Notamacropus eugenii: one gene and its partners. The protein of the gene in region 1 interacts with the protein of each later gene in a pairwise test. Links are inferred from orthologs where the notes say so. Each region holds a gene or a part of one and is shown in the gene's direction. Other genes may lie near its edges. The genes, in order: GFAP, PDLIM1, NXF1 and ZC2HC1C.

The links.
Region 2: the proteins of GFAP (region 1) and PDLIM1 interact in binary tests that used the Homo sapiens proteins (3 or more experiments, as listed by UniProt). The link is inferred for Notamacropus eugenii from reciprocal best matches to the Homo sapiens genes GFAP and PDLIM1.
Region 3: the proteins of GFAP (region 1) and NXF1 interact in a two-hybrid assay, tested with the Homo sapiens proteins (3 studies listed by BioGRID and IntAct). The two-hybrid records come from large-scale screens. The link is inferred for Notamacropus eugenii from reciprocal best matches to the Homo sapiens genes GFAP and NXF1.
Region 4: the proteins of GFAP (region 1) and ZC2HC1C interact in binary tests that used the Homo sapiens proteins (3 or more experiments, as listed by UniProt). The link is inferred for Notamacropus eugenii from reciprocal best matches to the Homo sapiens genes GFAP and ZC2HC1C.

Annotation. Positions count from the first base shown.
Region 1 is NC_092873.1:348,995,201-349,002,666, forward strand, and holds the start of GFAP (glial fibrillary acidic protein), read left to right. Parts: upstream 1-4,458; 5' UTR 4,459-4,468; coding exon 4,469-4,920; intron 4,921-6,919; coding exon 6,920-6,980; intron 6,981-7,332; coding exon 7,333-7,428; intron 7,429-7,466.
Region 2 is NC_092872.1:211,875,080-211,883,031, reverse strand, and holds the start of PDLIM1 (PDZ and LIM domain protein 1), read left to right. Parts: upstream 1-4,938; 5' UTR 4,939-5,113; coding exon 5,114-5,209; intron 5,210-5,965; coding exon 5,966-5,989; intron 5,990-7,952. UniProt on the Homo sapiens protein: Cytoskeletal protein that may act as an adapter that brings other proteins (like kinases) to the cytoskeleton. Involved in assembly, disassembly and directioning of stress fibers in fibroblasts.
Region 3 is NC_092873.1:15,879,525-15,886,531, reverse strand, and holds the start of NXF1 (nuclear RNA export factor 1), read left to right. Parts: upstream 1-4,001; 5' UTR 4,002-4,122; coding exon 4,123-4,150; intron 4,151-7,007.
Region 4 is NC_092878.1:57,916,152-57,923,860, forward strand, and holds the start of ZC2HC1C (zinc finger C2HC domain-containing protein 1C), read left to right. Parts: upstream 1-4,695; 5' UTR 4,696-4,784; intron 4,785-5,881; 5' UTR 5,882-5,900; coding exon 5,901-7,250; intron 7,251-7,709. Other genes in the region: ACYP1 (acylphosphatase-1), read right to left, coding at 210-293.

The DNA of each region.
Region 1 (7,466 bases):
AAATCAAATCCAGATCTCTGATTTCATAGGTATGGGGAATTCTTGCCAAAACCTCTTCTACCAATCAATATTTGCAACCTCAAGTCTTCATTGCCTAGGTCACTGAGAAGTTAAGTGACTTGCTTAGAGTCACACGGTCATGTGTCAGAGAAAGAACTTGAACCTGGGTTTTCCTGACTCCAAGTACAATTTTTTTCCAGTATGCTCGGTGGTGGCAAATTCCTCTCCTCTGAGAGTAGACTGGATTTTTGAAAACAGGAAGACATCAGGTGGAGCTACATTTGGTGATGCAGCAAAGGACTAATTCCCATTGGAATAAAAAGCTGAGGAGTTACTATAAAGGATGTAATAGGTTTTGTTTAAGGATATTCTTTCTACTCTGGCCTGGGCAGTTGGGCACTGCCATCTAGCTGCCAGCTAGACACTTCATTCTCACTCAGTGTTTGGCCAGGACATTGACCCTAGGGTCAGCCTCCAAAGGGGCCAGGCCAACAACTTCTGCACTTCCCTACTCACTCTCCTCCCAACCTGGATCTCTGGACCCTTTTTAGTCTTAGTCAGTCAAGCTCTGTTGAGTTCTTTGTCTCTTCACTTGGATCATAGGTCTAGAACTGAGAGAACCCTCAGGAACCATCTAGTTCAACCCCCTCATTTTACAGAAGAGGGAACTTTGACACAGGAAGGTTGTGTCTCATCCACAGTCACACAACTAATGTTTCATAGTCAGGATCTGAATGTAGGTCCCTCGACTCCAGAGTCTGGGATCTTTCCAATGTGCTATGACAATATCCCTAAGCTTCAGTTGTTTTTTGTTTTTTGTTTTTTTTTTAATGAGAGGGTTGAACAAGATAAGTCAATAAATCAACAAGCATTTATTAAGTGCATGCCTGAGCTAGGTGATCTCTTAAGGTGCCTTCCAGTTCTAACATTCTTTAAAAAAAATGTAACCAAGGATCTAAGACAACTCCAAAAAGGCTCATGATAGAAAACACTATCCACATCTAGAAAAAGAACTATGGAGTCTGAATGTAGATCGAAGTCTACTATTTGCTCTTTTTTTTTGTTTGTTCCTCCCATTGGTTCTAATTCTTCTTCACAACATGACTAATGTGAAAATCTATAGATGTGAATATAAGATGTAGAGCCTATATCAGATTGCATGCTGTCACAGGGAGGGGGAGAAAATTTAGAACTCAAAATCTTTTGGAAGTAGATGTTGAAAACTAAAAATAAATCATTTAAAAAATATAACCAAGGGTCCAGATCTTTGCTAGTTGACTGAGTTCTCAGCTGCCCTGTGCCTTCCTCCATGATCCTATGTTCGTGAGGTTGGAGTTCTGAACTATAGAGGGAGTGGGTACACGAAGGGAGAATATTATCAGGAAAAGACCCAAGTTGGAAAGGGACCTAGGCAGAAGGAGAGTGGTCAGATGAAGCTGAGGGCCTCTGGCTGTAGTTTGGGGTGCATCTGTCCTGTGGAGTGTATCTCAGAATCAAGTCTGTCTGTTTTTGTGACTGTCTATGTAGAGGGTGGTAATGGGGTATAGGGTTGGAGGCAGGAACCAGAGCAGGGCTTCAGGGAGGGTGAGTGATGAGGATGAGGCAAGGAATCAAGAGTGGGGCTGCTCTCATAGCTATCCCCTGGGTATGGTGATAGGGCAAGTCACTGGCAGATGGGCATTGATTCAGAAAGACAGCAAGTAGCAGATGAGATTTCTCAAGGCTCTTATATGTCACTAGTCCCTCATGATCATTACAAAAGCAAAGAAGGGCTACCTAGCTTGTTTTTGTGATTTATTATTCCCCTCCAATGGCTTCCTTGCTGTTTCTCAAATATGACATTCCATTGCCCAACTCTGAATTTTCACTGAATGTCTTCTGGGTTGTGATGTCCACCTCTTGACTTTCCTGGATTCCTTAAAATCAGCTAGAATCCTGCTTCTCCAAGAAGACTTTCTCAGATCCCCTTAATGCTAGTGCCTTTCCTCTAATTTATCATCTTTCTCTCTCTCCCTCCCTCCCTCTCTCTCTTTCTCTCTCTCTCTCTCTCTCTCTCTCTCTCTCTCTCTCTCTCTCTCTCTCTCTCTCTCTCTCTCTCTTTCTACACCCATACATCTACCCATCTATCATCTATCTATCTATCTATCTATCTATCTATCTATATCTATCTATCCATCTCTCTCTCAATATAGTTTGTACATATTTACATATTGTCTTCCCTATTAGAATGTGAGTTACTTGAGGGCAGGGATTGTCTTCTGCCATACTTTGTAACCCCAGTGCTTAGCACAGTGCCTGGCACTGTATGTAGTAGGCACTTAATAAACACTTTTGATTGGGTTTGATAGCATCTTTAAAGTTCACTGGAGTGTTACTTTCTCTTGAATGTAAATGGCAGGGTGCTGGGGGGAAGAGTACACAAACTTGCTGAATCCCACTGGAAATGTCCTCCGTTTCTCTAAAAAATGAAGATGAAAAAGTCCAGTCCCTCAATCTTGTCCATTCCCTAATACCTTACAGCCAGCCCTTTTCCTACCTGTGGGGGAGTCCAAGCCTTTCCTGGGCCCTGCCTCCAGGGTTCTCCAAGTGCTCCAGACCTAAACGCCTTTGGGTAGTGTGGGCTCTGGAACTACAGACTTCATCTTGCTCCCCCTCCTTATGGGGGCTCAGAGGTAATACCCAGATCTGACCCCAGCCCACGCTGGTGCCACTGATTGGCCAGCTGTGGAATAAGCTCCAGTTGGAGACAATGCTTTGTAATTCAGACTCAAGGTTCCACTGAGTTTCTCAGAGAAACTGTGATGAGGAGAGTCAAGTTGGCTTTGTGGAAAAAGTTGGGGAGGGAGCAGTAGCTGTAAACTGGAGCTGGGGCCTCTCTCTGAAGATGATTTCTCTTTTAGCTTTGGGTTTTCCTCTTCCCCCCTTCCCGTCTCTACTCCCCTTACCCAGCTTCTTCTGCCCACTGCATGACTCACCTTGGCACAGACACAATGGCTCCAGGGTGGGCACAGAGCCCACTGCCTATTGCTCATCAGCCTGACTCCACTTCTTTCCGAGAAGCCCATTGAGCTGAGAGCTTGGGCAGCACCCTTGTTTGGCAATCTTGCATCCTTGGGATAAAAGCAGCTTCACCTCCTGGGGGGTTGACATTTTTCTCCTCCCAAACCTCTCAGAACAATAATCCTTTCAGCAAATGCCCAGGCAAGTAGAAATCAGCAGCCTGAGAATAGTTGGGGGTGGGGGTGAGGGATGCCTATCTCACAGAAGCCCAGGGAATCTGGGACTGGAGCTTGAACTCTATGTTATCGAAGCGAGAACACTAAGGTCTGAAGACAGGATAGGAACCAGGGATCCCAGGCACCAGAACTCTCAGTCCAAAGTTTACCTCAAAGGTTAACTTATTGTTCCCAAAGTTTTGCTCCTCCCCATTTTCTTATTTCCCAGAGTACCAGTACCTAGCTCCTCTGCCAGGGAACCTAGAGGATCTAATGTGTGGGAACTCAGGGGATATAAATCTTCAGTGAGATATTGGTGGGGGAAGGGAGAGGATGGAGTATTGAGGACGGGACCCTGGGAACTCTCCCTGGGAGACAGCTCAGCACCACACAGCCTCCCTGGTCATCTGTAATGGCTTTGTGGAGCTGTCCAGTCCTGGGCTCTGGTAAGGCGCCCAGTCAGAGGAGGGTTATGAACCAGGGCAGGGTGGCATGGTTGGGAAGGCCAGAGACGTCCTATGCCTTCCTCTGGCTCATCCTTGACTAATCTCCCCCACCTCCACCACCCCATCCCCCAAAGTCATTCCTCTCTTCTATGAAGACCAATGGAAAAGATGGCAGAATAGAAGTCAAGAGGGCCTGAGTTCTAGCCCCATTTTTGTCACTAACTACTTGAATAAACTTAGACATAACTAAGGACCTCTCTGGACCTCAGTTTCCTCTTCACCAAAATGAGAGAATTGCATTAAAAGATCTTGACGGTCCATTCCTGTTTTGAGATTTTAGGAGCCAGGTTTCCAGACTGATAGGTCCTGGCTAAGCTCCAGGTCTAAAACTCTTGGTATAGAGGGAAACAGGGGTAGAAAGAGAATCTTGGAGAATGGGAATTTTCAGAAAAATGAACGCCCTTGAGAAGCCCTATGTTTGGAGTGGGAAGGCCTATGAGGTGTATCACAGTAGAATAATTTATTCCAATTCCCTGGAGAATACAAAGGCCAGCAAGAATACAGGGAGACCTTTCTCTCTCTCTCCCTCCCTTCGGTAGAATAATGAGATGGGAACTAGGGAGAGGAGAGAAGAGGGCTCCCCCCCCCCAGGGGGGCCTTCGGTCAGTGCCTCATCCCTTTCCAAGGAATGGTGCCAAAGTAAACATGGGCAGTGCCAAGAACCAACAGCTCAGGGTAGTGGAGCTGGGTGTGCCTTTCTATAAAGCCCCCTTGGGGCTGCCTGATCCAGCCAGAACCAGGGCCAAGATGGACAGGCGGCGCATCACCTCCTCTGCCCGCCGATCCTATGCCTCTGAGGTTGTGGTACGCTTCCCAGGTTCCCGCCGCCTGGCTCCAGTTGTCCGGCTCTCCCCGAGCAGAATGCCACCTCCGGTTCCCACTAGAGTTGACTTCTCAGTAACTGAGGCACTCAATGCCAGCTTCAAAGAAACACGGTCCAGTGAACGGGCCGAGATGATGGAACTCAATGATCGCTTTGCCAGTTACATCGAGAAGGTCCGTTTTCTGGAGCAACAGAACAAGGTTCTGGCAGGGGAGCTCAACCAGCTTCGGGGCAAAGAACCTACCAAGCTGGCCGATGTCTACCAGGCTGAGCTGCATAGACTCCGGTTTCAGCTGGATCAGCTGACTGCAAGCAGTGCCCGGTTAGAGATCGAGAGGGATAACCTGTCTGAAGATCTGGCCACCTTGAGACAGAAGTGAGTAGGTGGTTGTCCTAAGGAGAAAGGGAGAGGAAAGGGTGCAGTGTGACTTGAATAGGCTGGTCGCCCCCTCTGGAGCAAGGTTATCCAGTGGTAACCTGGGGCAATTCAGAATCTCTCTAGACTTCAATTTCCTCATGGGCAAAACGAAGAGGTTGCATTGGGTGATCTCTGGGGTCCCTTCTCAATCTAAATCTAGGATGTTACAGTCTTGTTTTCCCCAACTTAATAAGAATAGTTCCTACTTCTTGGGTCTGTGATGAGACTGAAAATAAAAAGAAGAGATGAAGCTAGAAAAGGTAGGGAGAGGAGACCTCAAGGTCAAATCCAAAAGCCACAAAAGATTCTCGTTCTCAGTTTTCTCCTGGGAAAATGTGTCTGATTCTTGGAGCAGTAGCTCATTCTGGAGGAGAAGTATGGGACAAATGGCAGGGTGCCTGGACTCTGACAGCTTTTGCTTTACTAGGTTACTCTGGGCATCTTGCTTGACCTCTCTGGGACTCAGAACTGTGTAGAAATCAAGGAGGGAGAAAGGGATGCGAGTGTCAGAGGGAAAGACAAAGTTAGATCCTGGATGTTTATGAAACTGTGGTTCTTGTGCTTCAGACTCTGGTTTGGGGGGGTCTATTAGTCACTCAGTTCATTAGTCTGCTCATCTCACACAGACTGTGAACTGTTTCATCCTTGTGAGCAGAGTCCTGTGCTGAACCCAAGGAGAGATACGCGTGCACACACACACACATCCCTCTAATCTGACCAGGTACATAAGAGACCCATCCAAAATAGAAACAAGGATGGGCTCTTGGGTAGAGCTGTGAGCATCGGTGCTCAGGGAATTCACGGGGAATGGAAGGAAGTCAGGAAGACAGGTAGGAAGAATTAAGGAAGGCATCCCGGAGATGAGGGGGAGTCTTAAACAGGGCTGGGGAGGAAGGAAAGGAAGGGGTTAAAGAGTGAGGATAGAGTGGGCTGCCAGAATGGGTGTGAGACCACTGTTTACATTATTCTTCATGGCCACCTCTAAGAATCTGGCGGCCCTTTAGTTATTCAATTAATCAATTTATTCATGCTACAGATCAACTATCCCCTGTGGGCAAAGCCTTGTTCTAAGCATGAAGGGGAGACACAAGCATCAGCAGGGACTACCTGGATATGGATTGGAAAACAGAAGCTGAAAAATCCAGAGAATACATTGGGAGGAGTCAGTCTAAAAATGCCCTGAGATTCTAGGCAGGAGTCTGAGCAGCACTGTAGGGCCAGGCTGACATCCAGATTTAGAGATGAATTCCTCATTCTGGGGCCATGTGGACAATCTGCTCACATGCTCTTAATAGGCATGTTCTCGGATAGCCTGTGGTGCCCAGAGTTGAATGGGCAATAGAAAGAAACCCCATGGAGAAACTTCTGGGCTATTGGAGGGGGCCAGAAGCAAAGAGGAGGGGAGGGAGTGTTTTATATGTGTGCATATCATTGTGTAGAGAGATATAGATGGGTTAGTGGAATAATGCATGTATATAATCTATTAACTAGTTGCAAGACTCTAGGCAGGTCACTCCCCCAACTCTGGATCTCCATTCTTTCATTTTCAAACAAGGGAATGGGAACCAGGTGATAGCTCAGGGCCCTTTTAGTTTGTCGGAAGGGCAAAAGTTTTGTCCTCCCCTTAACTTCCCCTTTACTCCAGAGGATTGTTGGGACCCTTCTCTCTGTAGCCTTCAAATATCTCATGGACAATTTAAGGTCACTATGTAACATAGTGGGTAGAGTGCTGGGCCTGGAGTCAGGAAGACCTCAGGTCAAATCCAACCTCAGGCTCTTCCTAGTTATGTGACCCTGGGCAAGTCATTGAACCTCTATTTGCCTCAATTACCTGTACTGTAAAAATAAGGATGATAACAATAGCACCCACTTCACAATGTTTTTTGTGAGGATCAAATGAGATCATATTTGTAAAAAGCACCTGGCACATCCTAAGTGCCTATCCCCTTCCTTGCAGGCTCCAGGATGAAACCAACCTTCGACTGGAGGCAGAGAACAATCTAACAGCTTATAGACAGGTCAGGGGACTTGGAGGGGCTGGAGGGAACCAGGCAAAAAGGTGGCAGCATCCCCTAAACTCAGCCTCTCCCTGTCTCTTGTCTTTGCCCCATTCCCTATGTCTGCCTTTGTCTCTCCCTAATCCATCATCCTTCAGCTCTGCCTTCTTTCCTTGTGCCTGGCTTGTCTCCAGTCCTGTCTTTTATCTCTGTCCTACTCATTCTCTGTACTATTCCCTTATCCCTGGAGAATGGAAGCTGGGTCAGAGCTGAGGGATAAGGAGAGTGAATGTGTGTATATGGGGGGGAGGGGGGCATTGGGGAAGGGGATGATATCCTGAGGTCAGAGCTAGTCCTCCTCTCCCTGCTGCAGGAGGCTGATGAAGCTGCTCTGGCCCGCCTGGATCTGGAACGGAAGGTTGAGTCTCTGCAGGAAGAGATTCGCTTTCTCAGGAAGATTCATGAAGAAGTGAGAAAACCAGAATGTTCCAGGATTTCCCTTCTCCT
Region 2 (7,952 bases), on another chromosome or scaffold:
TCTACTTCCATGTAAAAGTATGGAGGTTACCCAGGGTTCTCAACGGCTAGGAATGAGCTAATATACTTACAAGAAGTCCATCATCACAAGATTGGCCATCATGTGAGGCAAGTTTTTGGCCTAAGCAAATCTATCATAGCCTGGAGCAGAGTGAGAAGCTTGTGATCTATGTCCCAGGGACTAAGTATACCAGTGGTTCTGTATGGATACCTGAGGTACCTGAGACCCTTTTAGGAGATCCTTAAAGTCAAAACTTTTTTTCATAATAATACTAAGATGTCATTTGCCTTTTAAAATATTCCTCCCATTTCCTACTGCATATCTGTGTGAGGCCAAAGTTCTTCCATATACTTCAGTCAAAACAACATATTGAAGCTTAAAAGCAAAACTGTATAAGAGAATCCCGCTGTCTTCTATTAAGCCAGACATTCAAAGAACTTGCAAAAATATATAAAATAATGCTACTCCTCTCACTATTATTTTTTGTTTGGGAAAATCATTTTTGTCATAAAAAAATTTATGTGGACATGTAAAAGTTTTAATTATTATCTTCAAATACTTTATTAATCACTAATCAATTAATTTAATAAATAAATATTTTTAAATTATCCATTTTAATTCCAAATGGAGTAAATATCAATATCGACAGCCCATAGAGTCAAAAACTCTTTGGGATCTACAATAATTTTTGGAAATGTGAAGGGATTCTGAGAACAACCAAATTGAGAAATGCTAATCCATTCCTATAAAATACTGGATCTTAGAGGCATAGTAGACTTGGAGTTAGCACTGACCTGGGATTTAAGTCCTACTTCTGACATACTGTGTGACCCTGGGCAAATCAGTTGCCTCGAGCAACTCCCTATGTCTATGAATTATAGTATAGTTGCCAATCTGCTTTGGTAAAAAGAATTTCCTCCCTATGTGGATGAAATCACAGGTTTAGACAATTAATAATAACATTAATAACTGACATTTCTATAGCATATTATCTCATTTGATCTTCACAACAATTCTATGTGTTAGGTACTGGTTGTCTTAAGAGCCTTGTTTTATAGAGGAGGAAGCTGAGACCCACAGAGAGGGTGCTCAGTGACCAGTGTCTGAGTCAGAATTCACACCCAGGTCTCTCCTGACTGAGCCTACCATTCCTTCTATTACACATGCTGTCTCTCATTCGTGTATGTAATAATAACAATGCTAATAAACAGCTAGCATTGATAAATCATTCTAAAGTTTGCAAAGTACATTTAATAATAACAGCTAGCCTTTACATGGTGCTTTAAAGTTTGCAAAGCACTTTGTAAATCTTATCTCATCTGATCCTCACAGCAATATTGAGAGGGAGGTGCTCTTAATATTCCTTTTTTACAGATGAGGAGAGTGAGATAGATAGAGGTTAAATGACTTACCCAGGGTCACACAGCTAGTAGTGTCTATGGCTGGATTTCAATTTGTCTTTCTGACTGCAGATCCAATGTTCTATCCACCCATCACCTAGCTGCCTATATTAACTCAATTGATTCTCATGATTAGATACTAATATTGCCCCCCTTTTACAGATGAGGAAACTGAGGCTCAAAGGATAGTGACTTACCTACTGTCACATGGCCACTATATGCCTGAGGCAGGATTTGAAGTACTGTCTTCCTGACTCCATGTCTAGCACTCTATCCACTATGCTTCCCAGATGCCGTCCACAACAGACATGGGAAATAGAGTGTTCTCTTTGAGAAACAGCAAAATGTCTACTGTCACTGAATTGTTTGGAGGTAGATAACTAGAAAGCCACAGGGGCCCACAATTCAGATGCAGGCCATAAACCAGGGGTAGGGAACCTGCAGTCTCAAGGCCACATGTGACCCTCTGGGTCCTCAAGTGCAGCCCTTTGAATGAATCTAAAACAAATCATTGTGAAGTTTGAATTTCATCAAAGGGCTGCACTTGAGGACCTAGAGGGACACATGTGACCTTGAGGCTGCAGGTTCCCCACCCTTGCCATAAATCCTTGATAGAATAGCATCCTAGGAGAAGCAACCTGAGCTGATGGGCAAATAAATATGGCTGAAAGAGTCAGATGAAGAATGCTGGGTTGGGAATTGTTGGGTAAAGGAAATAGGCATTAGAGGAAATGTTCAATTTCATCTGATTTGTATCTCCAAGATGCTCTACTTACAATCTACTCTATTCAGCATGTGGCTAGCAATCTCTCAAGTAATAAGACCCATTCAATGATCTCCTCCCCCTGGAGCTCTATTCAGTTCTTCCCCCTTCCTCCTTCGCCCTTGGTTAAACCACGACTCACTGGAAAACCTTGATTAGGGCTCTTATTTTCCCAGGCCACTTGCTTATGTTATCTTGGGACCCAGACATGGCAGAGTTGACTTTGAGGGAAAGCTAAGATAGAAGTAGACAACATTTAGTCATCATCATAATTGCCCCCCTCTCACCCAGCATCTTGTCCAGTATCATAGAGTCGGATCTTCAAGAGACTTTGAAAAGCATATCTAATCTAGCACCTTCATTTTCCATTTGAGGAAGCTGAGTCCCAGAGACCAGAGGTGACATGCCCATGGTCTCGCAGGTGGTAAGTACAATTGGAACTCGGGTCTTCTACAGACAACTTCAGTACTCTTTCCACCACATCATGCTCTCTCTCTTAAGTGCTATATTTTTTCAGTACTCTTTGCAGTTTTCTGTTATTTATGTGGCTTGATCGTGCACTCAGAATTTCTAGAAATAAAGGGTAATTGATCCTGAGCTAAATTTTCCCCATTGAAACCTGTGGCTGAGCATGTTCTGTGAGTTGCCGGGGACCACAGAGGGATCCAATCCAGAGATGCCACTTCTGGTTTTAACAGGGGCTGGAACAGGAAGTTGGAGAAGGGAGGGATTAGGGAGAATAGAGTTTGTGGCTTGGTGCCTAATGAGCTTCCCTTGTCTGTCTTTTACTCACTGCTGTGAGAAACTGAGGCTTCTTACAAAGGGCCTTTAGGCCCTGAGTTGGGGTCTGTGGCTCTGCTGGGGAGAGGAGGGGGAGGTCAGCACACAGGGGAAAAATAGTAAAGGTAAAGGAGGTCAGGAGGGAATGGACAATTAAAAAAGAGAGAGGGACCAAAGGAGACAGGAAGTGTAGGTCCTGCCTTGGGTGCCACTGATACCGGTTTGCTCATATTTATTTAGCTCATTTTCCATAAAGAGAGAAGCAGGTCCGATGGTACACTTAGAAAGCAGAGTAAACAGAGTGATTATCCCAGAGTGCAAACTGTGTAAGATGCCTCCCTCTTCTTTTGTCCCAGGACCCCCCATCTATCAACTCTGCTTTAGGACTGAGAGGCTTGTTGCTTCTGCTTTCACAGCTCCTCTGGGGATACAGAGGGGGAGGGGTGGAGAAGATGAAGTCAGATACCCTTCAGAACTGAGAATTTCAAGATGAGTGTTACCACATTAACTCTGGGGTTTACAGGGACAATGATAGCTAGGAGCTGAGGCCTGGGTTCTAAATTGGTTTTTGATTTTGTGACATTGCCAGGGATTGAATCTGGCCTATCTCACACCAGTTTTGAGTAGTAGCTCTTCTAGGTCACCTCTTACCAGATTTGACCCTTCCTCTTAAGCTTCTCCAGCACCTAGCTCCCATAGATCCAGATGTCAGATAATGACTGAGACTTCAGTGTCAGCAGCATATCTAAGGCAGATAAAATGGGGCATAAGTGAAAATAAGTGGGAGGGAGCCAAGTGGCAGATTTTTGTAAACGATGCCTGTACAAAGACTGTGGCTGGGGCACTAAGGCTGTATTTACTATCAGCTACCAGCCGAAGACTGCTAAGCACTGTGGGTGATACACAAACATAAAACAAGACCACTGCCCTCATCTCAAAAACCGGAAGGAACCATTGGAAGTGATTGTTTTAGACCTAGAAGAAACCTGTCTTGTGGCCTAATCATCTCAATTTTATTTATTTTGTAACTGATGACCCACAATTTGATTAATTTAGTCCATGCCAGATGAGAAAACTCCCTTTCCCAAGGTAGATCTGCATTCCTTTTTAATCATTTTATTTAGAGAGTTGCCCTAGGCACTGAAAAGTTAAGTGACTTGTTCCTGGTCTCACCGACAGGATGGATTTGAATCCAGCCTATCTTGACTGGAAGCCCATCTTCCTACTAACTCACTACAACCCGCTGCTCATCTTTCTCTTCGTTCCTTTATTGAAGTCTGGAAAGATGGTGTCTTGCTCAGTCATCCAGAAAATCAGAGGTACAAACAAAGTCCGATCCAGTGTTCTTCCCAAGGTTATCTTTTATTTCATTTTTCGGTTCATGGAGTTACACCTCCATCCTCAGCCGAAGCGCCTTCCTCCAGACTTGTGAACTGTTCATGTCAGTCAGAGTGGCTAAATTGAGTTGTCCTGAACGGAAGAAAATTTGAAGTCTAGTTAGACTGTCTTTGGGATCCGAAAAAATCAACTATTACGTGCTTAATAGAAGTGAATGTGGGATTGAGCTCAGGAAAGATAGCTACACAGCTCTTTAAGGGTTAAAAACCAAATACCGGTGCAACCCCACCCTTCCTCTCTCCACCCTTCCTCACCTTGCGGACCAGGCAGAGATGCGGGCCTCAGCCTGCCCGAACCTCCTGCTTAGAGCCTGGGGCTCCCTGGCCTGGGTGAAGGGGGGATGCGGGACTGGGAGGGGACCGCAAGAGCTGATGGGATCCTCCTGCATCTCTACCATGTGCGCGCCAAAGTGACCCCAGTCCTGGAAAGCTCTCCTTCCTCGCCTGTATATGTCCCACCGTCGAGGTGCCCCGGCTTGACCCTGACAGCCAGGACCGGGTTAGGGCCAAGAAGAGCGGGGGCACTGAGTCTGGGCTAGGGCGAGGGCAAAGGCGAGGGCGGGGACAGGGGCGGGAGCAGACCAGGCAGGGCTGGGCGGAGCCGCAGCTGCGGTGGCCCCAGCCCCAGCTCTGGCTCGGGCTCCGGCAAAGCTGACCCGGGTGCTGCGCTGCGCTGCGCTGCCCTCTTGTTCACTCCTCCTGTCGGCTCCCCGAGAGCTCCAAGGGCAAGCCGAGTCCCTTCTCCGTCGGCCACTTCACTTGGGCTGGGAAACATGAACACAGAGAAGATTGTCATCCAGGGGCCGGGGCCCTGGGGTTTCCGCCTCGTGGGAGGAAAGGACTTCGAGCAGCCCCTCGCCATTTCCCGGGTAAGGTCCCGACCGCGCTGCGGTGCCTACTCTGGGGCCGCGCGAAGGCACCGGGGTGGAGAACTGTGTTGGGGCTGAGTGGAGGGGACCTGGAATGGAGAGACGGGCTGGCACGGCCACCTTCCCGGCAGGCTGGGGCTCCGGGAGCAGTACAAGGTCCGGTCCCAGGGGCCGGGGACTGTCTGGGGCACCCTCCCTCTCGCCCCTCTCGCCGGCGCTCCCGGCTCACCACTGTGTAGGGCAATCACACGTTCCTGCAGTCCAGGTGCGGCTGTAGCGATCCGACCTGGGGCAGCGGGCGAGCGCGCGTGGGGTGAGGAGGTGCGCTGGTGCGCGCTTCTACTTTCCCTTCGATTACTGTCGCCCATCTCGGGTAGGGACGGGTTGGGACGAGTTGAGGTTTACATCCTCGGGGGAGGGGGGGTTGGGTGGGGGTCAAGACTACGTCCCCTGAAACGGAATGCCTCGGGCCCCGGGTGCGCGACTGTCTTATCTGTTCAGTCCATCAATCACAACTATTTTCCGAGCTCCAGCCTGGGGTGGGGTGGGGGTGTTGTTCCTCGGTCCCCGGAGCGGAACGTTAATTTCCTTCCCCACTTTGCTAGTGAGTTGACTGAATGGCCCAGGCACACCTGACATTGAATCCTGGATAACAGAATGTGGGATTTCTCTCCACTCCCCCCACCCGCCCCCACTAATTATTGTTGTTTTGTATATTCATTTACATGTCACTGGCTTTGATCCTTTCTGCTCCAGTCATCGCCTCAGTTTCCCAAAAGGGTAAGTCGTCTTACCCAAAGTGGCAAAAACTAGTTTATCTTCTACTTTCAAGCTGGAGACTTTGAGTTCCAGTGGAAAGACCACCACTGGCTCTGGAATCAGAAGTCCTGAGTTAAAATGCCACCACTGATGATTACCACTTGGGTACCTCTGAGCAAGTCACTTAATACCATCCCCTCCGGCCTCACTTCCCTCCTCTGTATAACGAAGATGTAGGGGTGGGGGGTGTTGGACTAGGTGAACGCCTAGGATACTTCTAACTCTAAATCCTATGCATCGTCCTTTGCTATTACATCCTTGAGCAAGTTACTTAATTTCTGGGTCCTCAGTTTCCTCATCTGTAAAATAGGGGAGGAGTGGATGACGTCGGCGGCCCCTTTTAACTTTAAGTCATTCACTCCATGATCTTCCAGCCCATCTGTTGACTTTTTGCCAATACTCCCTACCGCACCCTCATTTCCATAGTGATTGAGGGTGAGGGTTTTCACTGTGCTTACTGATTTCATCTGGGAGATGCCTCTTTAGCCTGGAACTACAACTGTTCCAACTCCAAATATTTTTGAACCCCCAGTAACACTTTACAGATCTCTGGCCCGAAAAAGCTCAAATGAATGCCCCTTAGACAGGGGCTCTGTGAGGGAGGAGGCATATAACAAGCAGCTGGCATCAGTTGTCACAGATGGCAGTCATAAATGCCCAGCGATTTTCCTGGCATGCAATGGGATGTCTGAGGTGGGGGAGGGACGAATACTAAGTGGAAGGTGAATGCATATAACAGCAGTGCCTTCTCCCCACCAGTACAAATCCTACATTTCTTTCCAGGCCCAATTTGGACCCACTTACTTCCCCACAACACCTCTTTCCAATCTATTCAACATCACATTTGAACAGCCCGTAATTTGGATTTAGAAGATCTGGTGCCAAATCCTGACCCTGTCACTTACTTGTGTGAACAATGGCCAATCACTCCCAGTCTCTGGGCCTCAGTTTCCTCATCTGTAAAATCTTTCAGGTCCCTCCAGGTCTTAGGCCTGTGATTTTTCATACTTCGTGAATTTTTGTAACATTCAATAAAGTCAGTACAATGAAATATCACATTTCAGAAAAGAATATGCTGTATTCTCCAGCAAAACATAAACTCCTTTGGGTAGACTTTTTTGTTTGTAACCCCAGAGCCTCACACAGTGTCTTGCATGTAAGTGGTGAGAGTAAGCAGTGAAGTGGTTGTTGGTTGATTCTCTAGTTTTATGTTGGTATACAATTATTATTTATAGTTATTTTTCTATGTTTTATTTCTTACTAGAGTATGTGGCAGGAGTGATCTATTTAATCTGTATCTCCATTAGTATCCAGTAAGCACTTAATAACTACTTTAGGTAAAAGATGATATTGACTCCCTGGCCACAGTATAAGATCCCCAATGACAGACTGTCTAATTTTTTTTATTGCTCTCTTTTGTTTTTCCATGATCTTCATTTACAAACATATCCTTCCCTCTTCTCCTTCCCAGCAAGCCATCTCTTAGAACAAAGATTAACAAAGAAAAAAGTTCAGCAAAACCAACCCACACATCGACTTCATCTGGCAGTATATGTGTGTACCCTTCCACATCTAGAGCCTACCACCTTAGAGATTGTTCTATGTCATAGCTGTAATTTCCACAGAGTGAAGTTCACATACTGTGGAGCCTATAGAAAGTGGTCAGTAAATATATGGTGGTTGAAATGCTTGTTGAGTGAATGAATTATCTCTATGTATTTAAATACCACTTACATAATTTTCTATTCCTGGTTCTCATGTTTGTACCTGCCACCCTTTTCCTAGTTGAGTGATTTATAAGTGACACACAAAACATCTTTTAAATAGAGAGTTAGATCAGGTGTCTTCCCTAATTATAGCACCATCACAAAGCATGTTAATAGATGTTCCTTATCACATGTGGTATGGGAGTGACCCAGGGCAG
Region 3 (7,007 bases), about 330 Mb from region 1:
ATGGCAATAGTGACCCCAGGAAACTGGGGGTGCTGCCTCTGACAGACTGAGGACTCGCCTTGCCCCTTGGTGTATCCTGCTATGGCCCTGCTCCAGCAGTAGCCAGGGGAGAAAATGGGAGAATCTGAGCTCATAGCTACAAGTAGACTTGGAATCGGTCATCTTGGCTTCCTTGTCTGCTGCCTGTGCTTTTGGGTGGGAGGCAGAGGGTGCCAGGGGCTCATGATCCTCCCCTCAAGGTCCAGGGAGGCTTCTAGGGATCACACTGTCCCCTCAGGCATCATCTCAGGCAGTGAGGGAGCCTGCAAAGAGGGGGCAGCATAGGCCAGGAAGGCAGACAGTGGGCCTGTAGCAGCAGTCTCAGCCCCAACCAGCATTCCAAGAATACTCTTCCCAAGGCCACCCCTGTCTTGAGACTGAATCTTCCATCCATAGTCTGCCCACTGCCAGGGATTATCCATCTTGGCAGCCTTGGCAGCTGCGCAGTCTGGGAGCTGTAGGAGTCATTTCTCAGATTGCTGCTGTGGATGAAGCACACCAGCCTAGAAGAAACAGGTTGGCCTTCAGGGAACCTCTGCTCCTGGAAGATGCCCTGTGGCCAGTCTGCTGTCTGCCACCTAGATCCTGGGTTAGCAAGAACCTGCTGAGCCTCCTGGTCTGGTCTGTCTAAACAATCAGATTTATTAGGAAGTTCATTGGAAATGCTCCCTGCCCAGACAGGCTTTGGATCTCTGGTCACCTGCTGAGAGGCAACGACTTTGATCCTAGTGAGACCGTTGTTAACACAGGTTCCTGTGCTCTGAAGGAGGAGCCCTGTAGAGTATCCAGGTCTAGCCAAGGCTTTGGGCCTTAGCAGAGAGAACCAGCTCTGGGAAAAGCCTGGGAAGGCTGGGACTCCTTTGTGGGGAGGATGGCTGGTGGAGGAACTGTGATCAGGGTGGGGGCGGGGTGCTACCTCTGTGACCTTAGCAAGTCAATAAAAACACATTTCTATAGTGCTTAAGTTTGCACAGCACATTTCCTCATTTGACCCTAAGTCCAATCACCTGGTGAGGTTCTTGGCTTCCCAGCCACCCCAACTACCACTCACCCTACTAGGTCCAGTGATACTGGGTAGGCCGCTGTCTCAGGCCAACCAACCCTACCCACCCTTCCTGTTCTCTCATCTCTAACTGATCGATCGATCAACATACATGTATTATGTGCTGGCCCCAGGCCCCTCCCCAGCCCCATCTGTGGTGCCCTCTGGAATCTGCTCCTTCATTTCTCCTCCCTTTATTTTATGTAGATCTCTTCCTCTCCAGCTCTTCCCCAGATCTTGCTGAAACATACATTTCCCTTCCCATCTTTGTAGCACTGATCAATTCCATTTCTACTTGGCCACTTTCCCCTCAGCCAGTTCTCAGCTGAGTTCTGCTGAATGAATCCAAATCCGTCACTCGGGCCAAGTTCTTGTTGCTGTCTGTGCACATCCCCGCTCCATCCATTCTCCCTCCTTTGTGGAGACTTTGAGGGTCTGACCCTCCTCTCCCCCTCCTTCCCAACCCCTGCTCTTGGATTAGGTGATGTTCCCACAAATACCCTGGCCACCCAGTTCCTCAGTCTACTACTCCACTTCGATCTGGCCACCCCCCACCCCCACCCCCAACAAGTGACCCACTTCCCTAATCAGGAACTCTGAAATTCCTTTATCTGATTATAATTTGTCGGCAGGGATAGAGGGAAAGGCCTAGAATCATGAAGACCCCAGTTCAAATCTGGCCTCAGATACTTACTAGACATGTGACCACCTGTCTGCCTCGATTTCCTTGGTCTTAAAATGGGGGATAATAGGCTGTTCCTAAAGTCCTTGGTACAGCACACAGTGGGCACAATGTTGGTTTGCTTTCTTCCTGTGCCAGACTACCCCCTCTGTGTTGTTCTCCCTGTGCTATTCCATCTCTCCCCCACTTCAGCAATTTCGGGGCTACCTGTCCTCTGGCTCCCAATCAAAAGCCCATCTTTAAGCTGCTCAGCTCTCGGGCCCTGCTCCTCCCCAGAAAACCCAACCTCTGCTTGCTAGCATCCTTTCCTGGTGCTACTGGGTGGGTGGGGAGCAACCCAAAAGACAGAATCTCTTCAGAGAAGCTGCTGTCCTTTCATTGGCCCTCAGTCCCCTCTCCACCAGAGCCCTCCCACACCAGGTCCACATCACAAATGACCCTGAGCACTCCCCTTCTCAAAGTCACCAGACCCTTTGACATCCTTCCTCATTCCCTTTTTGGAGAGGTGGACCTTCTCACCAAGGCCAGCAGATCATCCCCCTCATCCCTCTCCTTGCCACCTACACACATGCTCCATCCCTTTTCCTCTCCTGTCCCTTTTCCCATCAGGCTTCCAACCTCATCCCCAGAAAATGCTTTCTCAAAAAACAAAAACAAAACTAATTGCCAGAGACCTTTTTCTCCATCCTTATCCCATCTTTACTGCCACTTTAGCCCCTTTTCCTGGATCCGCCTCCTCTCTAGGTTGGTGACTTTTGGTCTGCCTGCCTGACCCCTCCTTGTCAAGTGTCCTTGGCTGGACCATTATCAATATCTGACCCCCAAGGCTCCATTTGGGCCCTCCTCTGGGTACAAAAAGTAACCTTGTCAACCTCTGAGATCTACATTTCTTTGCACAGTCAGCTTAAGGCAGGTCTACTAGATCCGAGGACTGGGTTTCTCTTAGGAGCTCCAATAGCACATCGCCAGCTGCCTATTAAATATTTCCAAATGTCCAAAATGACTTATAAGCTCTAATTCCCCCCCCCCCCCCCCCGCACAAAAACATCCTGGTGAGTGCACTATTGACCTTCCAGTTCCATTAAATTCAATGTGTGTTCGTCCTTTGTTGCCAAAGAAGACCATGCCATCAGAGAAATGGTGACATGACTTGCACTTGACTTTGTTCTGAGTGACGGAGGGCTGTGCCAGTCACCAGCCTCACTTCTCCTCCAGAGCCATGGGAATCCAGGGACCAGATATTCCTCAGGATGACCGGAGATGACCCAGGAGGAGGCAGTTGGGGTTAAGTGACTTGGCCAAGGTCACACAGCTAGCGAGCGTCCAGCGTCCGAGGTGAGGTTTGAACTCCGGTCCTCCCGACTCCTGCACCGGGGCTCTATCCACTGCACCTCCTGGCTGCCCCATTAAAGTCAATAAACATTAAATGCCTACTATGTGCTAAGCTAAAAAGACCGTTCCTACCCTGGAGGAGACCCCAAGCGGAGGCTGTACAGCGGGGGCTGCGGAGCCGCGGGAGGCGCGTCCTGGGGCAGGGCTGGCCCCCAGCCCCGCCCCCTGGATCGCCAGGTCTGCCCAGCTGCACCCCCCAGCGCCTGCCTCACGGTGACAACCTGGCACACCCGCTTCCGGACTCGGGGACCCCCGCGTGTCCCCCGTCCTGCGTGGCCCCGGTCACAACATACAGGAACGCCCGCAGGTGCCCACGTGATCATCGCTGACTGGGGCACGCCGCGGGGATGGCACGTGCCCGGAGTCACCCCCGGGCTTCCGGACCCGGGGCCCAGAGCGCCCCGCTGCCTCCGGCCAAGTTCCCTGACTGCTGGCCCAATGTCACTCCTGCCTTTGTAATCCCGCCGCTGGGCGGCTACTGGGCACGCAGTAGGCGCTTACTAGGTGCATGGGGACTGACGGGGAAGGGATCGAGAGGCCTCCGCTGCCTCGGGGGCCCCGCAGCCCTAACCCGCGAGCTTGGGACTAGGCGCCGGGGAAGTCGGGGGCGGGGCGGGGCCTGGGGGGCGGGGCCTGGGAGGAGGGGCCTGGGAGGAGGGGCCGGAGGCCGCGCCAGCCCAGCCTGTCCCAGCGGGACGCGCAGGCGCAGAGGCATCTCGTTCGCTGGCCGCGCGGCCGTGTGCGCAGGCGTGGCGTGCCCCAGCTCCATTGTTGCGTCCGGCTCCGCCTCGCGGCTCAGCGCCAGCCTCGCGGCGCGTGGAGGCCGGCTGGGGCGGGGGCGTGCGCAGGCGCGTCGGGGGGGAGGGGAAGGGGGTGCGGTGGCTCGCTCTGAGGCGCAGGCGCTGTGCGGAGCGCCGAGGGGCTTCGTCGTTTGTCAGAGCCGGTGTCCGGCGTTCCCCGGCTCGTCATGGCGGACGACGGCAAATCGTACATCGGTGAGTGCCAGGGCCCGGGCCGCAGGCGGCGGCCGCGGGCCGTGGGAAGGGGCCAGGCCTGGGGGAGACGGGGACGAGGCCGAGGCCCTGGGCCCGCCGGGTCGGTGGAGCGCTGGGTGCGGGCGGCGGGGGCGCGCCTCGAGCCGCGAATGGCGCCCCTGAGGCGGCGGGGGCGCGCCCGGCGGGGCGGGGGCGCGCGCGGCGGGCTCGGGGCCGGGCCGCAGTAACCGTAGGTCTCGAGGCCCCCTCCTTCCCCCCTCCCCCCCGCTGAGTGCCTCCTCCCGGGTGGGTCCGGGCTGGGGGAGGGGCGGCCCTGGCGCGGGACCCCTTCGTTTATACCAGGAGGGGGGCGTCTGCGGGTCCCCCCAGGCCGTGGCCCTGCCAGCCGCGTAGTCAGACCTCGGTGACTCAGTTTCCCCCACGTGCCAAACTCCCAGAAGCCGGCGCCACCGGGAGGGCGGCCACGCCTGGGGTCGAGGCCGTGTTTTCTGTGGTCCGGCCCCCTCAGGGGCCCCGGACACGCCCTTCCTGTGGCCCCCGAAGGGAAGTTGTTGCGAGGGGTCCCTTAGCGTTTGTGGGCGCGCCTGGCCGGGGCTGCGTGAGACCTGCCCACCTCCAGGGGCCAGCCCGAGTGACAAAGGGCCCCTCCCTGCCCGCCCAGGGACGGGAGGGGGCGGGCACGCGGGCTGGGTGCCGTTGGAACTCGGGGCGCAGGGGGTCCTCCAGAGGGTCTGCTCAGGCATGGGCATCTGTGCCCGCACGGGGCTTGGCTGGTGGCATCAGGGCGGGCTCCGGGGAGTCACTGCGGTGGAGGGGCTGAGGGAGGGGGCCGGCGAGTTGGGCCTTCCAGGGGTGGGCAGGTGTGGCAGCCAGCGCAGGACCACGGGGCAGCAGGGAGGGAGAAGCCTGCTGTAAGCTGGGCCAGTTGTGAACAGCCACCTAGATAATTAACATTCTTGAGGCCACTTGGGGCCTTCGGCGTCCTTGGGTGCGGCCTTCTGAACAGTTCTTTTATTGGGGGGATTTGCTCTGTGAAGTTTGGGTTCAGTCAGAGAGCCGCACTGGAGGACCTAGAGGGCCACATGTGACCTCCAGGCCGAAGGTTCCCCAGGCTTGAGCTAGCGCTATGTCCTGAGCTGATCTTTGACTTCCACTCTTCCTGGTGGGCACATGCTGCTGTTGGCTCCAGTTTGAGGTGAGGAAACTAAGGCAGGCAGCAGGAAGGGCCTTACCCAGGGTCACATGCTAGGAAGTGTCTCAGGTCTAATACGGGGCAAAGGAGTTTGCCTTGATCCTGAAAGTCTTAGTGACAGGGGCCTATGCCAGCATGGCAGGGGCATCTTGGTTAGCCTTGAGTTTCAGGGCCTTGGGAGGATGATGAGAGAGAGGAGAGACTGGAGACCTAGAGGCCAGTGAGGAGGTGAGGTTAGCAGTGATGGCCAAGCGAAGCTGGCTGCTGAATGAATGGAAAGAAAGCCGTGGAGGGGAGTGGGTGTGTGAACCTGGGGCGGGGGGGGAACCGAGGGCACTCCTCCCTCCAAGCTGGCACTGACTGGAATGACAGCATCTGAGTGACCTGGGGCCTTTGAGTCATCTTCTCTAAAACTCCATCTATGCCTACCTCTGCAGATGAAACATGTACAGGAATAACTCTAAGAGGAATTAAAATGTTAAGTACCTAAGAGAAGTCATACCGTAAACAAACACTTGTGTGAGAGACCCATTTTTGTTATATTTATGGACACTTGTTTTTTCATCAAGTAATTCCCCCCCTCTCCTTCACATAGAGCCATCCCTCCTAACAAAGAATACAAAAAGCAGTTCTTCCCAGCCAGGTCTGCCACTTCTGTCTGGCAGAGTCTAGCCCCTGTGACCGCCCCCCCCCCCCACTTGTTCAGTGGGGCATGCTTTCTCACCTCTTCAGAAGGTCCTTGTGATTACACAGGGTGCAGGGTTGTGGGTGCTTGTCATTGTGTATATGATTCCTGGTGCACTGGTCAGACTTTCTCCACCTTTATATTCATTGTTTCTTACAGTGCTGTCATATTCTTTTCCCTTCCTCCCTGTAGTTTGTTTGGCTGGCCCTCCATGGATCCTCTCTTGCCTCCAGCGCTCACAGGGGCTGCTATGAATATTTGAAATATAGAGCCTTTCTGTCTCTGACCTCTTTGAAGTGCAAAGAATAGCACTTTTTTAGCATAATTTCAAATGCTTTCCAGAGTGGTTGAGCTAATTCATGGGTCTGCCAACAGAGAGTGCTTGTGTGCCTGGCTTCTTAAAGCTAGAGAGGCAGAATCTTAGGGGAACATGAAGATTTCATTTTTAAAAATGTGGAATTGGGAGAAGTGCTTGGGGTGGAAGTCAGGTTTTGGGAATCATCTACATAAAAATAAAACTGAAGCCTTGGGAATCCATGGGATCAGCCCTTTGGAGAAAAGCCGCACTTAGGGGGCAGATGAGAAGTTACTAGGGAAGGGAACTTGAAAAATTCTGTGTGAGGCAGCAGGGCCCCATTCACAGAGGTATGCCCCTGTAGAGATTCTGATATGGCGCACCCCAGTGTGGCAGACCCTGGAAGGGTAGCCCAGGAGGCCTGAGGCCTGTGAGTGGGCAAGACAGCAGGAGACTCATTCTCCCCCCCCAAAATCATGCTCTGTGAGGTCCACCAGGGCTGAGGAGAAAATGGAAATAGAGGGAATGTTAAGGTGTCCGGCAGGTGGAAATAAACCTGAGGGGACCCTCCCACAGTAGCCTAGAGGAAGTGCCTGGTGAGGACTAGACTGAAGGAGACAGCTTTTTCCACCTTGCCTTGAACCATCCTTGTGACTCCAGATTAAATTTTGAAAACCACGTTCTC
Region 4 (7,709 bases), on another chromosome or scaffold:
CATCACAAGTAATAAAAAAGGAAATAGATTAAAACAAAAGGCACAAAAAGGATAAAATACAGCTCACACCCAAACCTATGCCCTACTGTTTTAATAACCAGTTCTTTATAGTCTCATCTCCAACATGGACAGTTCATGTGTATCCACAAAAACATTCATTTTGTTGAAACATTATTTAGCATCTTCCAAATCCAGTGTGGAACACTTACTTGTGTGTACTTTCGGAAAAATACACCTTGGACTTTCCCAAAGACTTCATAATCCACTGACAACAGGGTGTGTCCTTCAGCCATGGTAAGACCTGCTGGTGACCAAGCAGAGCAAAAGAAGTACAAAAACAAGTCCAACTCTGGACATCCTGGGTTTTTGTCATTTTATCCGTTCATTCGTTTAAAAAACAAATAAAAAACATTTATTGAGTCCCTAATGTACTCTTGTAGGTCCTTAGGAAGACTTTTTTAAAAAGAGAGGCAGCTGGTGGCAGAGTGGATGGAGCACCAGTCCTCTAGTCAGGAGGACCTGAATTCAAATCCCTGCCTCAGACACTGGACACTTACCAGATGCATGACTCTGGGCAAATCACTTCACCTTGACTGCCTCACCAAAAAAAATTTAAAAATAAAAAGGAAGAAAAAGAAAACAAAAAATGTCCTAAAGGAACCTGTTATTAAGATGGTAAACTCTATAGAAGTAGAAATCTTATCTTAGTCTGCTCTGAATGCAGGTGACTGACAATAAATGTTTCAACTGGAATCAAGCGAAGGACACAAACACACTTATGTATATATACGTATATAATTATATACATGTATACATATATACATGTTTATGTCCGCTATATATACATGTAATACACATTTGCTTTACACATCATATACACATGTACACATATGTGTATTGCATGTGTGCACACATTCACAATGCATAGGCATACAATGCATGCATGTATATATGTATACACACATGTATGTTTGCACATTATGTGTATATAAGCACACAGTTGATCTATCTATATGTACCTGCTATACCAGACTATATGCACACATGAATTATGTGTACCTATATACAGACGTGTGCATAGACATATGCACATATACCATGCATGCTTATGTGTATACACATGTATGTGCACATACAATGTACATGTGTATATATACATGCATGAACAATGTACAGGGTGTGCGTGTACACAGACTGATGCTCAGCAGTGTCTGACACTATGCGATCCCATGATAAAAGGTTTTCTTGGCAAAGATACTGGACTGGTTTGCCATTTCCTCGTCCAGCTCGCTTTACAGATGGGGAAACTGAGGCAAACAGAGTCACACAGCCAGTAAGCGTCTGAGGCCGAATCCTGGCTCCATACCCAGGGCTCTCTTCACCGGGTAACCTAAGTGCCCCCTATACACACTGGCACACTACACAATACATATGATGCACACGAAGACACACGCCCAAGATCTGCAGGCCCTCCCGGCACGATTCCTCCCTCCTCCCCCTCTAGCTGTGCAGGCGCTCCACTTGGCAGAAACCCTCGAGCCTCGCCGTGCTGGTGGCTAGGGGCCCAAGGGCGGGCATCCACCAAAGGTGCCATCCAGGCTACCTCCCCCTCCCGGCAGGAAGGACGCCCCCTCCCACCTCCCCAGTCCCCGGAGCCCCCCGCTGGCGAGCCAGCCCGGGCGGGAGCGGGGCATCTCTGGGGGGGCCCCCCCCCCGCTGCTCCCCCTCAAACTCCACCCCCCGCTGCTCCCCCTCAGCCCCCCCCGCTGCTGCTCCCCCTCAGCCTCCCCCCCCCGCTGCTCCCCCTCAGCCTCCCCCCCCCGCTGCTCCCCCTCAGCCCCCCCCGCCGCTGCTCCCCCTCAGCCTCCCCCCCCGCTGCTCCCCCTCAAACCCCACCCCCCGCTGCTCCCCCTCAGCCTCCCCCCCCGCTGCTGCTCCCCCTCAGCCGCCCCCCCCGCTGCTCCCCCTCAGCCTCCCCCCCCCGCTGCTCCCCCTCAGCCTCCCCCCCCCCCGCTGCTCCCCCTCAGCCCCCCCCCTCCGCTGCTCACCCTCAGCCTCGTCCCTTCTCCACTAACACCTCATGCCTACCCCCCCGAGGGCGGCTGGCCCTGCTCGGCTTTCGCCCAGCAGCACGTCGCAGGGCGGCCAGCGGAGGACCTCACCCAACCGTCAGTTCCAGGTCACAACTGCCCGCACCTGGAGAGCATCGAGTTGTGGTCCTCCCCTTCCTCCTCCCCCCGCTCCCGGCTAGAGAGGCCCGTGGCCCCGCTCAGCCAATGAGGGCCGGCCGGCCCGCCCAGGAGCCCGCCCACCTGCGAGGGATGCGAAAGAGCCGAGAGCCTCACGTGACCACCCCTGATCCTATCCTCCTTCACCACTGAAACTAGGGGTGAATTTGTGGTGGGACTGGATGGGCAGAGAAGATGCTTCCAGCCTTGGCGTCCCCCTGGAAGCTGTCAGCTATGAATTACTGTTGGTTTTCCTTACTATGCTCTTAACTCAATAGGGCCAGCCAAATAGACAAGAACAAGCAACCCTGGACTCCAGAGTTATGTTTGAGCCAGTCATCTCAGACTCTCTCTCTCCATGTATCCCATATACCAAATTTTAAGGACTCATTTGGGGAAAGGAAAACAGGGAGAATGGAAGGCAGGAGAGGTGGTTATACTTAGATACTAAAATCTTGCTTACAGAATGAAACCAAGTGAAAAATATGCAGTATCAGTATTAATCCTGGCAGGATGAACCATCCTTCAAGTATTGGTCAAAAACATTCTTTTAGTTGACACTTAAAAGGAGTTTATAGCTCTGCATACCGAACTTTATGTCCATTGACTAATATTCTGAAGCATTTTTATCACGACCTGGTGGGGTAGTAGTTATCCCCGTGTGGAAAATAAGGCAGCTCACACTAAGTTTTAAGTGATTTGCTCAAGCCCAACAGCTATTAAGTGGCAAGGTCAGAGAGAGCCGTGTGTTGCCCTCAGAAGAACACTGGATTTGGAGAGTATTTGGATTAAAATGCTGCCTCTGCCATCTCCTACCACCTGTACGTGACTGTGAATAAATCACTTAACTTCTCTGGGATTCAGATTCCTCATTTGTAAAATGTGGGTTAGATCAATAGTATCAAATTCAAATAGAAATGAGGGCCATGAAATATAAAGGTCCTTGTAAGCCTCATATTGACTTAGTTTTAAAATGTAATATTATCACTGTTTTATTGTATTTTTATTTAGTTCAATATCTCCCAATTACATTTTAATCTGGTGCAAGCTGCACTAAGTAATGTAATAGACACATGGGGCCTGGAGTAATGTTTGACAGCTCTAGGCTTAGATAACTTTTAAGGTTCCTTCTAGTTAGAACATCCCCCCAAAAATATAGGCTCCTTGCTGACCGGAGATTTACAAATGTTATCAATTCCTCACAACAAACCTGTGAGGTAGGTGCTGTTATTCTCATTTTACAATTAAGGAAACTGAGGCAGAGGTAAAACTAACTTGTCTACAGTCACACGGCTACGAACCCTGGGTGGTCAAGTGGCAGATGGAGTTCTGGGCCTGGAGTCAGGAAGGCCTGAGTGCAAACTGGCCTCAGCTATTTACTACCCTAGGCAAGTCACTCAACTCTGTCTGCCTCAGTTTTCTCATCTGTAAAATGAACTGGAGAAGGAAATGGCAAACCACTCCAGTATCTTTGCCAAGAAAACCTCAAAAGAGGTCACAAAGGACTAAAACAGCATATCCTCTTGGTTCCAGGTCTCCTCTCCACTGTCATATATGCTCGGGTACCTCAGGAAGCTGCTGACTTCCATTACAGCCAATGAGTTATTCCTTTTTCAGTCTACAGCAGGGCCTCATAACCAGGCTCCCTTTGAAACTGGTGAGTGACATTACAATAAAAACAACATTTTGAGATTTTAAGGTCCGTAGGTTTTTGTGTGAAGACTACAAAAGCCAGAGTTTTCCAAAGCAGTTTGCAAAAGCGAGCTGAGGCACGAAAAGGCCTTCTGCCGACCCTTTATGGAGGCTTTTTTAGTGCTGGCGCAAGTATTAACGGATTATTCTGAAGCCGTCGGTGGCCTTCGGTCCTCAGGACCGTTCCACTTCGCTGGGTCATTTGTAGGCCCTAAGGGATGGGCCGCTTGGGCCGGGATGGAGTGCCACAAAAACGCCAGGGGCTAGTGTCTGATTGGCCATAAAATATGCGGAAAAAAATAATTTTAAAGCCTCCCGGCCAGTCATGGACAGGCAAAGGGCCCCGAGAGGGGCACACTGAGGCAGGCATGCCCGCAGCACGCACGAGACCGCTGAGCGCACTAAGAGGCCGCCGGCACGCCCGGCCCTCCAGGCGGGCACACGCAGGGGCTCTCCTCCGCCAGGCCTTCGAAGCGGCCCGCGCTTTGGCCCCCTCGAGGCCTCGCGTCCCGGGTGCTCTTCCATCCCCGCGGTCCGGGCCGCTCCGGGCCACACTCTCCTCCTCCCAAGGCACCTGTAGGTGAGGCCCTGGGGAGGCCGGCCTACGCGCGCTCCTCTCCCAGGGAGCCTTGGGGAGGCCGGCGCACGTGCGGAACAGAACGCCCGGCCTCGCGGGGCTCGGGTCTAGGGCAGGAGGCGGGACCGCCCCCCCCCCACCTCCGCCGCGGCTCGCGCTGTTTCCAGGCAACGGAAAAACAGAGCGGTCCAGAGCGCCTGCGCCGGGACCGCGGTCGGGGTCGGGCCGGGAAGCTGGCGCCCTGGGCACGGTCTCCCGCAGCCGGAGCGGACGCGGCGGAGCCTCAGGTACCTGGAGGGGCAGGCTTCCCGGAAGGATGGCGGTACTCCTCTCCCCGCTCGCCCACCCGGCCCGCTCCCCACGAGGGCAGAGAGCTCCAGGAGAGCCCCGCTGCCCGAGCGCCCGGCAGGCCCGAGGGCTCCGGTGCCCGGCCCCGGGGACGCTGCCGCTGCCCAGTGTGCGGGGAGCGCGGCCCGGCTCGGCTCCCGCACCGGGGCGGGGGCCTCCTCAGCCCCTGGCTGGCGCTGCGGAGCGGGGCTGCGGGGGAGCCGGCGTAGACGGACCCCCGGGACGTTATCTCGTCCCGCCTCCGCCCTCCCCGCCGGCTTCCATGCGCCACCTGTGCATCAGGCCCAGATGGCAGCCCGGGCAGACGGGGAGCGGGCACTGCCCTCCGGGATCGCTTGTCGCACCCTTAGCCCTGGCATTACTGGAACCGTGGAAGGACCCCCGACCGTGGCGTCCGCGCTCGGGCAGGTCACCTCTGTGTGAAATAAGAGGGACGGAACTGGATGGTAAAGATGCCCAAACTGCCCAGCACAGCCCTGGGTCTTCGTAACTGCCCCTCGGCTGTAGGGTTATTTCCATTTTCAAGAGGATTAGAAAATGAGGCCTGGCCGAGCGAGTCCATGGTCAGGCATCTCATAAAGGGCAGAAGATTAAAAATGGGCTCTGTTGGAAACTTCTGGTGCCCTGCGAACCTGCCCCCAAATCCAGTGCTTTAATTAGTCTTAAAATTACAATTTGAAATTTAAATAATTCAGATCTTAGCTGTAAAACCCTTTTCTTTTCATGTTGCAGCCGTTACTAGTCAAACAGTAGTACATGAGGTTCTGGAGCAGTAACATGCCCCACAGGAGACTTTACTAGGGCACTAAATAGCAGAGGCGATTTGGGTGAATACCTAAACCTGCCCACCAAGGGCTTTGGAGAGAGATGCAGCTATTTTAAGGGGGAAGTCGTGCTATCAGGATCCTTTCTCTGTATCAGGCCTGGCACCATTAGTAACGTGGTAGAGAAAAGCAAGGGAAACTTAGAATCTGCTTCAACACCCCAGACCCAGCATCAGATTTTTAACACGAATCTGATTTTGATTCTCTCTCAGGCTTCAGGTCAGGCACTGAATGGCTCGCCTCCAGTTGGCTCCTTGTCCACATGTGGACATCATGCTTCCTTTTAACAAAATGGAAACTTCGGAACTCCATTCAAGTAGGCCAGCCCGTTTTGAACAGAGCAGCTCTACCCATCAGTCTCGGCTGGAGCACCTGAAAAACAACTTCCAGCAAAAACTTCTAAGAGACAAAGAAGAGAAGCTGGAGAATATATTTACTCATAACCAGCAGAACACCTTTACTAAAGCCCATAGTTATCCCTCTTCTCATTCTGTAGAAAGCAGCCAACAGGATTCAAGAAACAATCAGCAGGGTCCAGGAAGTGGGGATTTTTATTCAGTTGGAGTCCATATGAGACATACCAAAACAGATAACCAGGAAAACACAATGCCCTTCACAAAAAAGAGAGCTGGTGTGGATCGTGCCTATCCCCTCAAACCAGTGTTTCACCGAAAATCATTGAGTGCTACTCACATTAAGACTGACTGCCACAACCTCTTCCAGAAACCCTCTGAATCAGAAGAGGTCACACCCAGTCACTTCAGTTCACGGAACAGGGGGGGTTCATCTTCAGTTAAGATGCTACTTGCTCCCCTACCAGTGGTTCAGCCCAAAAAATTCTTGTTAAATCCAGGCAGAACTGAGCTAATGCAGATTCAAAAACTAGAGGCAGCAAGTGAGAGCTTAGAGGAAGAAATTCGAAGAAAAGAGACTCTCCTAAGGGAAAAGTTGAAGAAGACTGAGGAAGAACTTAGAAGGATCCAAAAAGAAAAGGAGCTGGTAGAAGAAGAAGAAAAAAAGGAGTTACAGAGAAAGACATTTCCAAGGAGAAGAGGCACAGGTAGCAGCAGCAGCATTTCCAAACTCATCTTCTCGCCAGAATTCAGGCCTGAAGAGGTCTTCAATAGTCATAGCAGAGGTGATGAAACATGGGAAAAGTGCCAAGAGAATTCTAGTCCATCTTCAGTATGTTCCCAATTCTTCAACCATGGAGTACAAAGACTCAAAAAGGAAAGACTAGGGGCAAGTAATAATAAAATCCGAGATAAAATTTCAGTATCATCCCCTGAGTCATTTTCACAGCACCAAGAAGATCCTGGAATTTCTTTGCCCAAATCCCCCAATTATAGTTCATCTCAGGTATCAGTCACCTTAGGTTCCAGCTCTTCAATTGAAGAACCAGAGCTTGGTGAGTGCAGCTACTGTGGACGAAAGTTTCTCTTGCTAAGGCTAGAGAAACATACAAATGTCTGTAGCAAGATCCAGGGTTCCAAGAGGAAAGTGTTTGACTCATACAAGGCCCGGGCTAAGGGCACTGAACTGGAACAGTACCTGGCCTGGAAAGGCCCAACTTTAGCCAAGGTAAGTAATGTTAACTCCTATAAGCTTACGGATTTTATTTTGGGTGAAGGATGGTTGGGGACTGGGAAGGGTAATCAAAGAAATATGAACTATTTTCTTACCTTATAAAAGCATTTTAAGTGGGAGGCAGGGAAAAGGAATTTGAAATAGAGCTGGAGTGTAACACTACCATCTTGTATTTCTGAGAAGTTAAGTAACCTAACCTTTGTAGAACTTCTTTGTGCATTTCTCACATTCTCCAGTTCTGATCTGCTAGAATCTTGTAAGAATCATGGTCTTTTTCATGAAGCACTGTCATTTCCCACCCTGTATCACAAACTGGTATTGGTTTCTTAGGAGTTAAAAAAACAACCCTGACAATTCTTAATTCCAAGTTATTCATATTTTTAAACTTGTATCTAAAGCAGATACCAAATTGCCAGGACATTTAACTTTACCAGTGCAAATTACAAGGTCTAA